2 linked regions of the Caenorhabditis elegans genome follow. The protein of the gene in region 1 interacts with the protein of each later gene in a pairwise test. Each region holds a gene or a part of one and is shown on either strand. Other genes may lie near its edges.

What was found. The genes of interacting proteins can lie anywhere in the genome.
Region 2: the proteins of M03B6.1 (region 1) and F47B8.3 interact in a two-hybrid assay, tested with the Caenorhabditis elegans proteins (one large-scale study listed by BioGRID).

Annotation. Positions count from the first base shown.
Region 1 is NC_003284.9:13,838,459-13,844,811, reverse strand, and holds M03B6.1 (uncharacterized protein), read right to left. Parts: upstream 3,203-6,353; 5' UTR 3,185-3,202; coding exon 2,983-3,184; intron 2,288-2,982; coding exon 2,076-2,287; intron 1,889-2,075; coding exon 1,850-1,888; 3' UTR 1,490-1,849; downstream 1-1,489. Other genes in the region: M03B6.5 (uncharacterized protein), read right to left, coding at 152-417, 470-524.
Region 2 is NC_003283.11:14,319,107-14,325,281, reverse strand, and holds F47B8.3 (Glutaredoxin domain-containing protein), read left to right. Parts: upstream 1-2,278; 5' UTR 2,279-2,405; coding exon 2,406-2,506; intron 2,507-2,953; coding exon 2,954-3,212; intron 3,213-3,258; coding exon 3,259-3,432; intron 3,433-3,482; coding exon 3,483-3,803; 3' UTR 3,804-3,915; downstream 3,916-6,175. Other genes in the region: F47B8.18 (Skin secretory protein xP2-like), read left to right, coding at 1-459; F47B8.4 (Glutaredoxin domain-containing protein), read left to right, coding at 694-788, 833-1,085, 1,131-1,310, 1,355-1,675; F47B8.14 (Skin secretory protein xP2-like), read right to left, coding at 3,969-4,736; F47B8.13 (Skin secretory protein xP2-like), read left to right, coding at 5,551-6,175.

The sequences.
Region 1 (6,353 bases):
ATATAAATACTAAACAAGAAATTTCCTAAAATCTTTTAACAGAAAAATTCCTCTTTGATACAGACATATAGTCATCCCGCAATTAGTCACGATTTTTTTGATTCATGTTCACTTCCAGAGCTACCAAAAATTGAATTAAATTAATCATTTATCAATAATTTTTCACGACCCCTAGAAAAATCACAAAAAACAAGCACAAAAACAGCATGAGAAGAACGAAATAAAACCAAACTATGGAAATATCGCCAATGTTTCGCCGATTTTGCGGATGATTCTTGCAGCATCTTTGATGTTTTCCACTCCATTGGTACAATGTGCAGCACACTTTTTCCCGATTTATTTGGATTTCTTCAAATTGAATTCCACTTTCTTCATCGTCCTGGCTTTCCACTTTGATTCCAGGTACTTCTATTGGAACTGAAATTGAGATCAATTTTTTTTAAATAATAAACTAAAAAAAATCACTCACTGGAAAACCGTACTTGACTTGTACTAGTACTAGGATATGAATCAGAAAGCTCCATTTGTAATAAATATCAATAATATTATGGAAAAATAATAGAAGTTTTGATTGACGCAGATGCGACAAAAATCCAATAAAAACGTGAGATTACTGCCTCAAAAAATTGTGCGGGATTTAATTGATGAGATGGGGGGACGCACCGCACACGCGTCGCTCTTCAACCTGTGACAAAAGTTTGGAAAGATGAGAAGGTCTTTGAGCAATAGATAATCATCAACAACTTTTTTGACATTTGTTCCAGAAAAGAATAGAGAAAGTTTTTATAAATTTAAAGCGAATACTAAAACTTTCACATACATATGTAGTTACATGCTAGCATATTGACTCTAATGCGTCTTTCCAGATTCTCAAAATTTTTTTGGCAATTACCGAAATTTTCGGCAATCGGTAATTCTGGCAATTGCCGATTGCCGGTCACTTTTGGCAATTTTTAATCATAATTATATTTTGAACCATGACAAAAGTTCAGTTTGTTTTTCAGTATTCGGTTAGTCACTTTCTAATAGAAAACGTTCAATCTTAAAGGATCAAAACAGTTTGAGCTTGAAAAGGAAATTTTATTTATTTATTTAAATGCATGGTTAGGCTTCTAAGTCTACAAAAAGTATCAAATTTATATTTCCAGGAATTTTAATTTTCGGCAATCAGCAATTCCGGCAATCGGCAATTTGGGCAATTTCAGCTGCGCAACCATGATTTCAAGGCAATGGAGCATGAGGTCTATCTGTTTTCTAAAAAGTTGGCCATAGTCCAACCAATCGCACATGACTGATTGTCGTTATTACTGCATTTTTAAGAAAGATATATGTAAGCGTTCCCCCATCCACTCAGCCCTCTCCAATAATCAGAGATTGAATTTATCGAAATGTCAAAGTGTAATTTTGTTGGTAACCAATGTGAGAATCGGGATGATGAAACTTTGTATTCGAGAAGGTGATTGCTGATAACAAGAGATATGAAAAATGTACTGTTCCAAAAAATTTATATCATAATCAATCATCTCGTTGCGCGTGTCATTGAAATATGAAGCGATACACTTTCTTGCAAAATTTATTTCTGATAAGATATTTGTGCTGGGGAGCTATTTCTCAAACCGTCCCTAACAGGTCACACTTTTACAAAAATATTTTTTGACATTTTATTTCAATTTTCAAAATATAGAATATTGGCAAATCACTATGTTTACATGGAAGCTTAAAAATTTTTTTTCATAAAAAATACACTTTTCACGCGTTTACAATTAATAATTTGGACTGAAAACTACTTGTGGATTTTAATTTAAAAACATAGCAATGAAATTTTTGAATGTCCTTGATGTTTTCCACTTCATGCTTTTGGGCAAGTGGTGGGAGAGGTCGTTGGTTCCTGAAACAAAATTAAATTAGAAAAATGCAATTCGGCTTTGTGATTTTTAATTGATAGAGCATAGACAAATGGTGGCCTAAAAGTTAGTAGAAAACTCTAACAGACGTTCAAATTGAATGTTCAAACATCAGAATGAATTAAATGGAACAGTCAGCTGGTTTTTATCAAGTCCAAAGTATATTCTTACCTGTACACAATCCAACAAATTACCCTTCTTTGCTGCATCACGCTCGCGAATTCTTTCTTGGATGATTATCTCAGTGTGTTTGAGAATTCGAAGATCTACTAGTGGCTGAAGATCACGGTAAAGCATGAAATCAATGTACTCTTCGGAAAAGATAATTCTCCCATCCGGGCCACGTGGTTGCTCGTCAAGTGTTGGACATTTCCTGGCTTTCACTGAAAATACAGGAGTATAAATATGGTAAACAAGTACCCGCGAAAACGTTTCAGAAACAAAAAAAAAATTAATGAAGTCTATCATTTGATCTTTTGAACACGAAGAATTCCAAAAATGGATTTTCCCACAGGCACATGAAAAAGTGATGTTTGTAATGGAAAGCATGAGAGATTTATGCTGCAACATTAAACTTATTTATAGGAATTTGAAATTCAAGTATTTGTACTTTGTAACTGATTTATTGATACCTAGATTCAACAAAAAATTGGGCTACTTTAAAGACACCCTCCTGAGCATGATCAACAGAGCACTTTTAACGTAGAAAAACAGAAAGTTAGTCAATTTGCAGTTTTACAAAATATTACCAGCAGACTGTTTTTTTTTGTTGCATAGTTAATGAGCTGATGGAATAGTGTATCTCGTTAGAGATAGAGTAGGGTCTTAGGATGGGGTAATTTTAAAATGTTACACTTTCTTTTAAAGCATTGTTTCAAGTTCAACCCCTTCTGATTTTCAAATACAAGAAAGCAAAATAGATTCATAATATTTTGCTTAAAACTTGTTTGAAACCCCGTTTTTTGGTCGACTTCCAAAATTATGAGTGAAAAAACCGAATGATTGCTATTTGCAACAGAAAATATGAAATATCACCAACTTGTTGAAAATTTTGTTACAAAAAAATTAAATAGCTCACTTTTATGATATTCAATAATTTTCAGCCTTTGAAGTTCCTTGTTCTGAGCAGCAAGCTCTTCCAAAGGAACATCCAAATTATCATTGATAAAATCCTCTGCTTGTTTTCGCTCCTTTTCGGCAATTGAAGTTGAACTTTCGGCATTTCGGTTGATCGGCCTTGAAGATGACGGTCTTCCGGAATACATCAAAACCCACTCCATGACTTGGTCAGCTGAAACACGAAAAATGAGTGCCGCGCAATTTCTTATACTCTCAATATTCTCAGAAATGACTCCGCCCTTCAGTCAAACAAGGGCAATTACTCATCCAGGGGAAAGGGGGAGGAAGAATGTTCTCTGCAAAAACTTGCTCATTGAGCTCAGCAGGATCACTCAGCCACTTGTCAGACATTTGGGTGGAAATCAAGAGAGATGAGAAAGAAGAAGAAAAAGATAGAAGCTTGCATAAAAAAAGATTTTTGCAAATGCAAGTGAATCATTTGTTCCACCATGGGCGTGACAGCTCAGGATTACGTTTGAATAATTTTGAATCAACTGGAGCCATTATCTTTTGAAACCAAATTAGACTAGCGCACTAATTTACTAATCAGACTAAATTTATTTTTCAAAAAACTTGTAAATACTCATTCGCAATCATATAATCTTGCACCAAAAGGCATATCGTTGTAGAGCCTTCAAAATTTGAAAATGCATATAAATATGGTACATATATATATATATATATATATATATATATATATATATATATATATATATATATATGTATACATGTGAAAAAACATGTTTAAGTAGTTATTTTTAACCTTGTTTTCCACAAATAAAACACGGAACAACAATTTTTTTTAAATCATAAAACTAGTTTCAGAAGTTATTTTTAAAATTGAAAAAAGAATCCCCCAAATTTGCTCTTTAACGTATTCAAATATCATCCACTTTTTTCGTGATTTAATTTTTTCGATTCAAATTTCCGATTTTTTTTTCAGCCGTTTTTTATCTCCCAAATCCTCAAGTTTTCATTAAAAAAATTCACTGAAATGAAACAAATGAACAAGTTGGCAAAGAAAAATCATGAAAATTGGATTGCATGGTGCCGATCTAATTTTGAAACAAAATAAAACGAAACGAGGAAAAGATCTTTTGAATTTGTAAACAAAAAGTTAATGAAATGGAAATTGGAATTCGTGTGGAGCAGACACAACAATGAATGAAAATCGAAAATAGACTGAAATGAGGAAGGACATTTGAAACTAGAAATCTAAGAAAAAAGTTATGGGAATAAGAATTTTTTGCAATTCAACGTATGTTTACAGGTATTTATAGATTTACAAGTTACGCTAATCAGAAATTTGTGAGGAAATGATGTAACACGTAGGCGTGTGAGTTGCAGTGCCCAAAACATGTTGGGTGCTTCGAAAAACAAAACTGTGGCTGGCAAGTTACTTCCGCAGAAAGCGGGTTATGAAAACAATGCACACGTAAAATTGTTTGTCAATTTGAACAAAAAATTTTCATCAATAAATATATAAACTGTTACTTTAAGTCCCAAGTAGTTTATAGCAAAACGAGAAAAGTGTTGAAGTTTTGGAGACCACGATACAAAAAATTCAAGAAAAAAAAATCAAACGCAAGATAATTTGCCTGGAATCAAATCTGAGAAGAAGTAAAAATATTTTTTTCTATAAGATTTTGAATATAAATCAAATTTAAAAAGTCTGGTCTGGCCAATTTTTGTCTCATTTATTCATGTCGATGTTCTTACCAGTCTTTAAACGCTTTTAAATCTTTAAATCTTTAAGTCTTTAAATGTTTCAGATTATTATTTTTTAAATAAAAAACATGACCAAATTTGATTTATAATTTTAACAGTTGTAATGCTAAAGTGGTACCTACATATTACATTTTTTTAACATTCGGTACGGATAAAAAATTATTAGGTGCGCCACGCCATACTCAAAACTTAAAAATGAAAACATCACTGTTTTTTCACATTATTTGAAAAAACCTCACCAACTTTAATAACCAACTTCCTTCTAAAAACAAATATGTTTTTTTTTCTTCTTTTCATTTTTGAAATCTCTGATCATTTTGGAGAAAAACAGTTATTTTCAAAAAAAAATTGAAAAATATTTATTCTCTTCCTTCGCGGGTCTTCTTTCATTTTATTTCACTATTATACAAATATTTGCTCCTGGTCTGTAGGAAAAAAGTTACGCACCAAAAAAAATGACCAGCGACCAACAACACAATAATATTGCTGGAAATGTTAAGTTGACTGAAAACAGAAGTGCCGAATATTGTTCGAAAACACGGAACTAAAGGGCACGGTAGAAACGGGATTTGTGTTTTTGGTATTAGAATAATGAAATGCAAGCAACTCAAAGAACTGGAATTTTTTTTGTTAAGCTGAGAGGAACAGGAAATTGTTTTTTCGAAGGATTTGCATTCAAATTGAGTTTTCGAATTGTGAGTTCAATATGGAGTTCAAAAACATATTTCGAGGCTTTGATGTGTGTCCAACTCGGTAGGTATCAATAAATTTTGACAGAAAAAGTTTAGCGTATACCAAGTTCAAAAGTTATAAATTCATTTTTTAAGTTCACTTTTGAATAAACTGATATAAATTGTCCGTTTTGAAAAGCAACCAAGCTTGGCAGAATTTAGCATCAGCTGATGAAGTAAGTGATGACGCCTATTAATTTCAATTGTAATACTGAGAAGCAAATAGAAATAGCACTCATCCGCAAAGAAAGTGCTCACCATGCAAATGATTTTTTTGCAATAAAATGAGAATTTATAAACACAGCGTTTACAGGAAAAAGTGCAACGTCGAGATGAGAACTTGCTCACTGATAAACGAGAAATAACTTTTCTGCAGAATTAAACATTGATAACGTAAAAAAAAACTGCTGCAAAATGAATGGAACAGGTTTGATGATATTCAACGACAATAAGAACTACTTTCTGGAATTTTAGTTAATATTTTTGCTTCTGGAACGTTATGCTGTTTTTTTACAAATTTGTCTAACTTTACCTCAAAATGAAATAACGTGAGATAAACGACCAAAATAATCAATAAAAAATTTTGAAATTTTGCTAAAATAGAGTAGTTTGTTTCAAAATTTTGAACCGCCGTAAAAATTGTTTAAACGATTTTTGAGAAGTTTTTTTACAAAATTAATATTTGAGCACATTTTTGGGCTATACGTTTAAAATTCACAAAACCCGTACTCATCCCTCAAGCTATTTGAAGTAAAATTAAAATTTATTAGGCTTTTTCTTCTAAAAAAAAACAGCAGAAAATTTTGGAGTTCTGGTAAAGATACAAAATAAATTTTGAAAAAGATTATTGAAGGTGTCTTTATAATTACGT
Region 2 (6,175 bases), on another chromosome or scaffold:
GCTCCAGCTCCAGCTCCAGAAGCCGCACCTGTTGCACCATCAGCTGACGCTGGAGGATATGCCGCTGCGGCTGCACCCGCCGGTGGCGGATCTTATCCAGCCAAGAAGAGAAGAGTAGCTCGTGATTATGCTGAAGGAGAAGCTGCTCCAGCTGCTCCAGCAGAACCCGCCCCAGCTCCAGCTCCAGCTCCAGCACCAGCACCCGAAGCGGCTCCAGCACCAGAACCAGCGCCAGCTCCAGCACCAGCACCAGCACCAGAAGCCGCTCCGGCTGCGGCACCAGATGCCGCTCCAGCAGAACCAGCTCCAGTACCTGAGGTTGCTCCTGCCCCCGCACCTGCTCCAGCAGCCCCAGAATCAGATGCCAGTGGTTACTCCTCTGGTGCTGCTGCTCCAGCTGGAGGTGGTGGATCTTATCCAGCCAAGAAAATGATGCGCTTCTCCCGTCTCGTTTTTTGAAAACTTTTTATTCTACATTTTCGATCTTGCTTTTACCAACTGGTTCATTTTCATTTACGGTTCAAATGACATCAACTTTTAATAAAATGTTTCTATCATTTCGCATGTGCTGTTTACTTTTTGCTGCTCGACCAGGTGATACTCTTATCAGTTGAATACTTGAATACTGCACACTGACTGTTTTGTGTTCCATTTCAACACATTTGTTGTTTACTTCAAAACTACTAAACTGAAATGGGAAATTATCTTGAAAGCTCTTCAGAAGAATTCAATGAAGCTGCTTGGCATTCAAGTGAGGAAGATTTCAGTGTCAAACTTACAGTTTTAAGGTATATAGGAAACATATTGCGTTCACCAGAAAGCACATTTTCAGAGATGCAATGATTCAATTACGAGTTCAGTTTCTACATTTTCAAAGTATTTTCTATCATCAGAATAAAGCCAAAATTGAGCACGAAAAGAAGTCACTCAATGTTATAATTATAGTCGTTCAAAACCAAATTGACGATATAAAGCTGATAGTTGGAGAATATTTCAAAATCAAGAACCTCCAGATGTTGAAGACAATTATTGATAGCTTTGAGTATACATTGAATAAAATAGCATTCGAAATAAGCAAAGCAAAAGTAATGTTTTTTTATTTTTTTAGAAATTTAAGAATAGAATTTCAGGGCCAAAATTTTTTCATCGAGAAGGTAGAGAAACTAATCAACAATCTCAATCCATTCGACGTGCCAATTTACGAAAATATTCAAGGCGTCGTATTAGAACTGAATACTCAAGTTTCATCAATGGGAAATATTCCTGAAAAACTAGAAATTAAAACGCAAAGGGAGACTTTTCAACTCGAAGTGAGTTTAAATCTCTTACAGTTTGCTACAAAATTATGTTACAGGAAGAAAATGAGATCAGAATGGATAATTGTAGAATGATGAGTGGTCAAGCTAAAATTTACAAAATCTTCCGAAAATCGGTTGTTCTTTTCGTGAATTATCTTGAGGATGAGCAAACTTTATCTACAATACAATCACTCAATGATAATCAAATTGAATACACTATATTTGATGTTTCCACAGATTCTGAAATTCGATTTATTTCAAAAGCATTATCAGATTGTGAAACCTTCCCTCAGCTGTTCGTTGATGGAGCTTTTGAGCCATTGCCAATTCTGAAAAATCTTCTTCCGAAGCTTCCCAAGGTCTACACAATGAATTGAGCATCACACAATTTCTAAGCTATATGTATATGTATTGTTTATTTTTTATTATCAATTTAAAATAAATTTTTTCAAAAATAATGATATTTAAAAACTATTCATTCATATGATTTGCTATCGAATTTCATCGATTTTAGTTTTTCGTTAATTCTGCAAGATTTTCCGAAAGGACGTACGTAAAAATGTAGTTAGAACGTTTTTATTTGTGCTTTATTAAAGCAACTCTACTCTTAAAAAAAACTATTCTTAAGTTTCAAAAATAATTGTCAAATAATGACTCGCGAGATATCAGCTGCTTGAACTTTTTCCAGAGTTTGGATATGAGATTTCCTCAATAGGAATCATGTAGACAAACTTGTGGAACATTTTGGCGTTTGAAAGATTTTTTTTGAAAAAATCCTCCATTTTTGAGCTGTGCTTAAAAAGCCATTGAAACAGTAATTTTATATCTCATTTTTCTTAAAATTCTCTTTCTGACTTTTTGGTCATATCTGAGAACAGAGAACCCTGGTATCCCTCTCACATGGCATCTCTAGCCTCTCTGCCATCCTCCTGTTCCTCACCGATGCACCATATAAATCGAAGAGAAACAGAGAAAAAGCCTTGACTATGAAACACTGCGTCTCCGTTCTCTTACACTATTTATATGTTTGCTTTTTTCTCGAACTAGTTATTCTTCGCCAACCAATTTTAATTTTTTCTTTCTTTTGCTTCGTCCTTCTAGGAAACGATGATGCGCGGAGTTTTTGGAAAGTCTCCGGAGAAACTGAAACCCGAATTGGAAAGTGAAGCTGGTGAAGAGGATTTAGGTGTGAAACTCACAGTTTTGAGGTGAGAGAAACGTTCCCTAAAACATGAAAAACTAGTGACGGTTGCGAAATAATTTAAATTTTTTAAGATGTTCAGACAGTAAGTTTCAGATTAGAAAAGGCTCTTTTAGCTGAAATTCTGAGGTGGAATAAGAAAAATTCAATTAGGTATTAATTGTAAGTCCAAATTTTCAAATTATAACCAAGAAATTTGATTCCGAAATTTCAGTTGAATATTTCAATTCCACTCCTAATTTTATGTTTTGTATTTTTCGATAAAATATTTCATTTTAGCATACAAATTTTGCCTGAAACCGTAATTTTTCCGTTGAAAAACGCGGAACATTTGTGAAATTCAAGATTTGCTCACATTCATAATTAATCGATTTTGAATTGCGAAAACTTGCGGAAACCATAATTTTTATTAAAATATGAAATTAGACACTGAACAAATTTAAATTTTTTTCAGAGATGCAATGATCCAAATGCGAATTCAATTTCTCCAGTTTCAAAGTGTCTTCAAATTTTGGGATTCCAATGAAGACAAATTTGTGAATGACCTGAAAGCATTGAAGATCATTGTAACAGTTGTTCAGAATAGGATTGAAGACCTCAGAAACGTGGCTTCGGAGTACATTGAATTGCAAAATTCACAGCTAGCAAAAAGAAAATTGGACAAGTTCGACGATATTTTGAATCTGATCGTTTTGGAAATAAATGAACTAGAGGTAAGTTAAAACATTCTCTTAAAATTTTCAATCATTAAATTTCCAGAGAGACAATTTCTCAATTCAAAAAGTTGAGAAACTAATTAACAAGCTTAACCCATTTGATGTTCCAACTTTTGAAACTTTGGAAGAAGACACTGCAAATCCAGAAAAACTACCCGTTAGCAGAAAAGCCACAAATTTTCCAGATCAATTGACAAAACAAACAGCTCAAAGGGAGGTTTGTTCTGAACTGAAATTCATGTACAATTTTAAAAGTTATGTTTTCAGGAAGAAAGTGAAATTCGAAATGATAATTCAAAAATGGAGAATGGTCAAGCTAAAATTTACAAAATCTTCCGGAAACCAGTTCTTCTTTTTGTAAATTATCTTGAGGATGAGCAAACTCTATCTACAATACAATCACTCAGTGATAATCAAATAGATTACACTATATTTGATGTTTCCACAGATTCTGAAATTCGATTTATTTCAAAAGCATTATCAGATTGTGAAACCTTCCCTCAGCTGTTCGTTGATGGAGCTTTTGAACCATTGTCAAATCTAGAAAATTTGCTTCCGAAGCTTCCCAAGGTCTACACAATGAATTGAATCACTATTTTCTACCTGATCTTTTTACAAACCTCATTTACTCCGAATACCTCGTAAAACTCACATGATGAATCTATTTATTAATGAAATGAAGTTATTAAAAACCGTAAAAATTATGAACCGGTTACAGTGAGAGAGATACATGGGGATATAAAAAAGTGTCAGTTAAATAACGAGACGAGAAAATCTCATCATTTTCTTAGTCGGGTAAGATCCGTCAGCAGCTGGAGCAGCTGCGCCGGCGGAATATCCACCTGCGTCTGCTGCTGGGGCTGCTGGAGCGGCATCTTGTGCCGGAACTGGAGCGGCTTCTGGTGCTGGTGCTGGAGCGGCTTCTGGTGCTGGTTCTGGTGCAGGAACTGGGGCGGGTTCTGCTGGCGCAGCTGGAGCGGCACCTTCTTCAGCATAATCACGAGCAACTCTTCTCTTCTTGGATGGATAAGATCCACCACCAGTTGGAGCATCTGCGCCGGCGGAATATCCACCTGCGCCTGCTGCTGGGGCTGTTGGAGCGGCATCTGGTGCCGGAGCTGGAGCGGCTTCTGGAGCTGGAGCTGGCGTTGGTTCTGGTGCTGGAGCCGCTTCGGGTGCTGGAGCTGGAGCTGAAGCGGGTTCTGCTGGAGCAGCTGGAGCAGCTCCTCCTTCAGCATAGTCACGAGCAACTCTTCTCTTCTTGGCTGGATATGATCCACCGCCGGCTGATGCAGCAGCGGCATAACCTCCGGCATCGGCTGCTGGTGCTGCAGGGGCGGCTTCTGGTTCCGGAGCTGGGGCTGGAGCTGGTGCGGCATCGGCAGGTGGAGGAGGAGGTGGAGCAGCGTCTCCTCCACCACCTCCACCACCTGAGTAACCACCACCTCCTCCGCCACTTGAATACTGACAGTGAGCAGAGAAAATTAAAGTAGAAGCAGCGAAGATCAAAAAGAGATTCATATCTGGAAATTAATATTTAGTTGAATAATCTGAAAAGTCCCAACTCACTTGGAATTAGAAGGTGAAGTGATGCCGTTCTCGATGTCTTTTCTGTTTATATACTACTTCTCTTTCTAATCAAAACTTGATTTTGTTGTGAAAATGAAAGTGAGAAACTATTAGTTTAAAACAAAAACAGATGAAGCTGAAAAATAAATAAATTACCAAGAGAATTTAAAAAAATATATTTTCAAAGTACATTTGGAAATCCGCATTGAAATAAATTAAGGAGATTACCAACGGGACTGTCGCCAATGCCTCATTAAAATTCCAAAAATTTAAGTGAGGTCAGATTTGGCCAATCCATTTCTCTACTTTTGACTACCAGGAAATTATATTTTTCATAGCATAGATTGTTTATAAACACCCTAAAAATGACTGGTCAGTATTAATAATTACAAAAATGCAATTTTTAAAACAGGCATCTGTTCAAATCCGATTATCCTCTTTCTGCAAAACCGTTACAGTTACAATATCACAATCTTTCAATTTGTTTTGTTTTTCGTTTCACAAAGCACGGTTATTTTACAATGTGTTTTCTCTCTTTGTATTCCTTTTGTTAAATTTGAGATTGATGTTGTTTTTTTCTATTTTTGCAGCTACTGGCTTTTCCCTAGGAACTAGTTTTAGGTGTTCCGCATTCTCTTCAGCTGCCCGGTATAAAAGTTGGAAGTTGAAATTGAAAAGTATCATTACATTCTCCATCTTCCTATTTCTTCACATCAAAGTGAGTTTCACTGAAGTTTTCAAAACTTTCACTTCGAATTTTTCAGAAATGAAGCTGTTTCTTATTGTGACTTTGTCTGCTATGGTCTGCTCGATCAGTTGTGATTATGCCAGCGGTGGAGGAGGAGGAGGAGGAGGAGGAGGAGGAGGAGGAGGAGAAGCTGGATATTCTGGAGGAGCTGGGGTAGAAGCTCCACCACCTCCTCCACCTGCAGATGCAGCTCCAGCTCCGGCTCCAGAACCAGCTCCAGCACCAGCACCAGAAGCCGTCCCAGCACCAGCAGCCGACGCCGGAGGATATGCCGCTGCAGCTGCTCCAGCCGGTGGTGGATCTTATCCAACCAAAAAGAGAAGAGTTGCTCGTGATTATGCTGAAGGAGGTGCTGCTCCAACTGCTCCAGCAGAACCAGTCCCAGCTCCAGCTCCAGAACCTGAAGCCGCTCCAGCACCAGCCCCAGTAGCAGAACCAGCTCTAGCCCCATCACCTGACGCCGCTCCAGCAGCCGATGGCGCAAGTTACTCCGCTGGCGCCGCTGCTCCAGCCGGTGGTGCATCTTATCCAGCCAAAAAGAGAAGAGTTGCTCGTGATTATGCTGAAGGAGGTGCCGCTCCAGCTGCTCCAGCAGAACCTGCTCCAGAACCAGCTCCAGCCCCAGCTCCAGCACCCGAAGCTG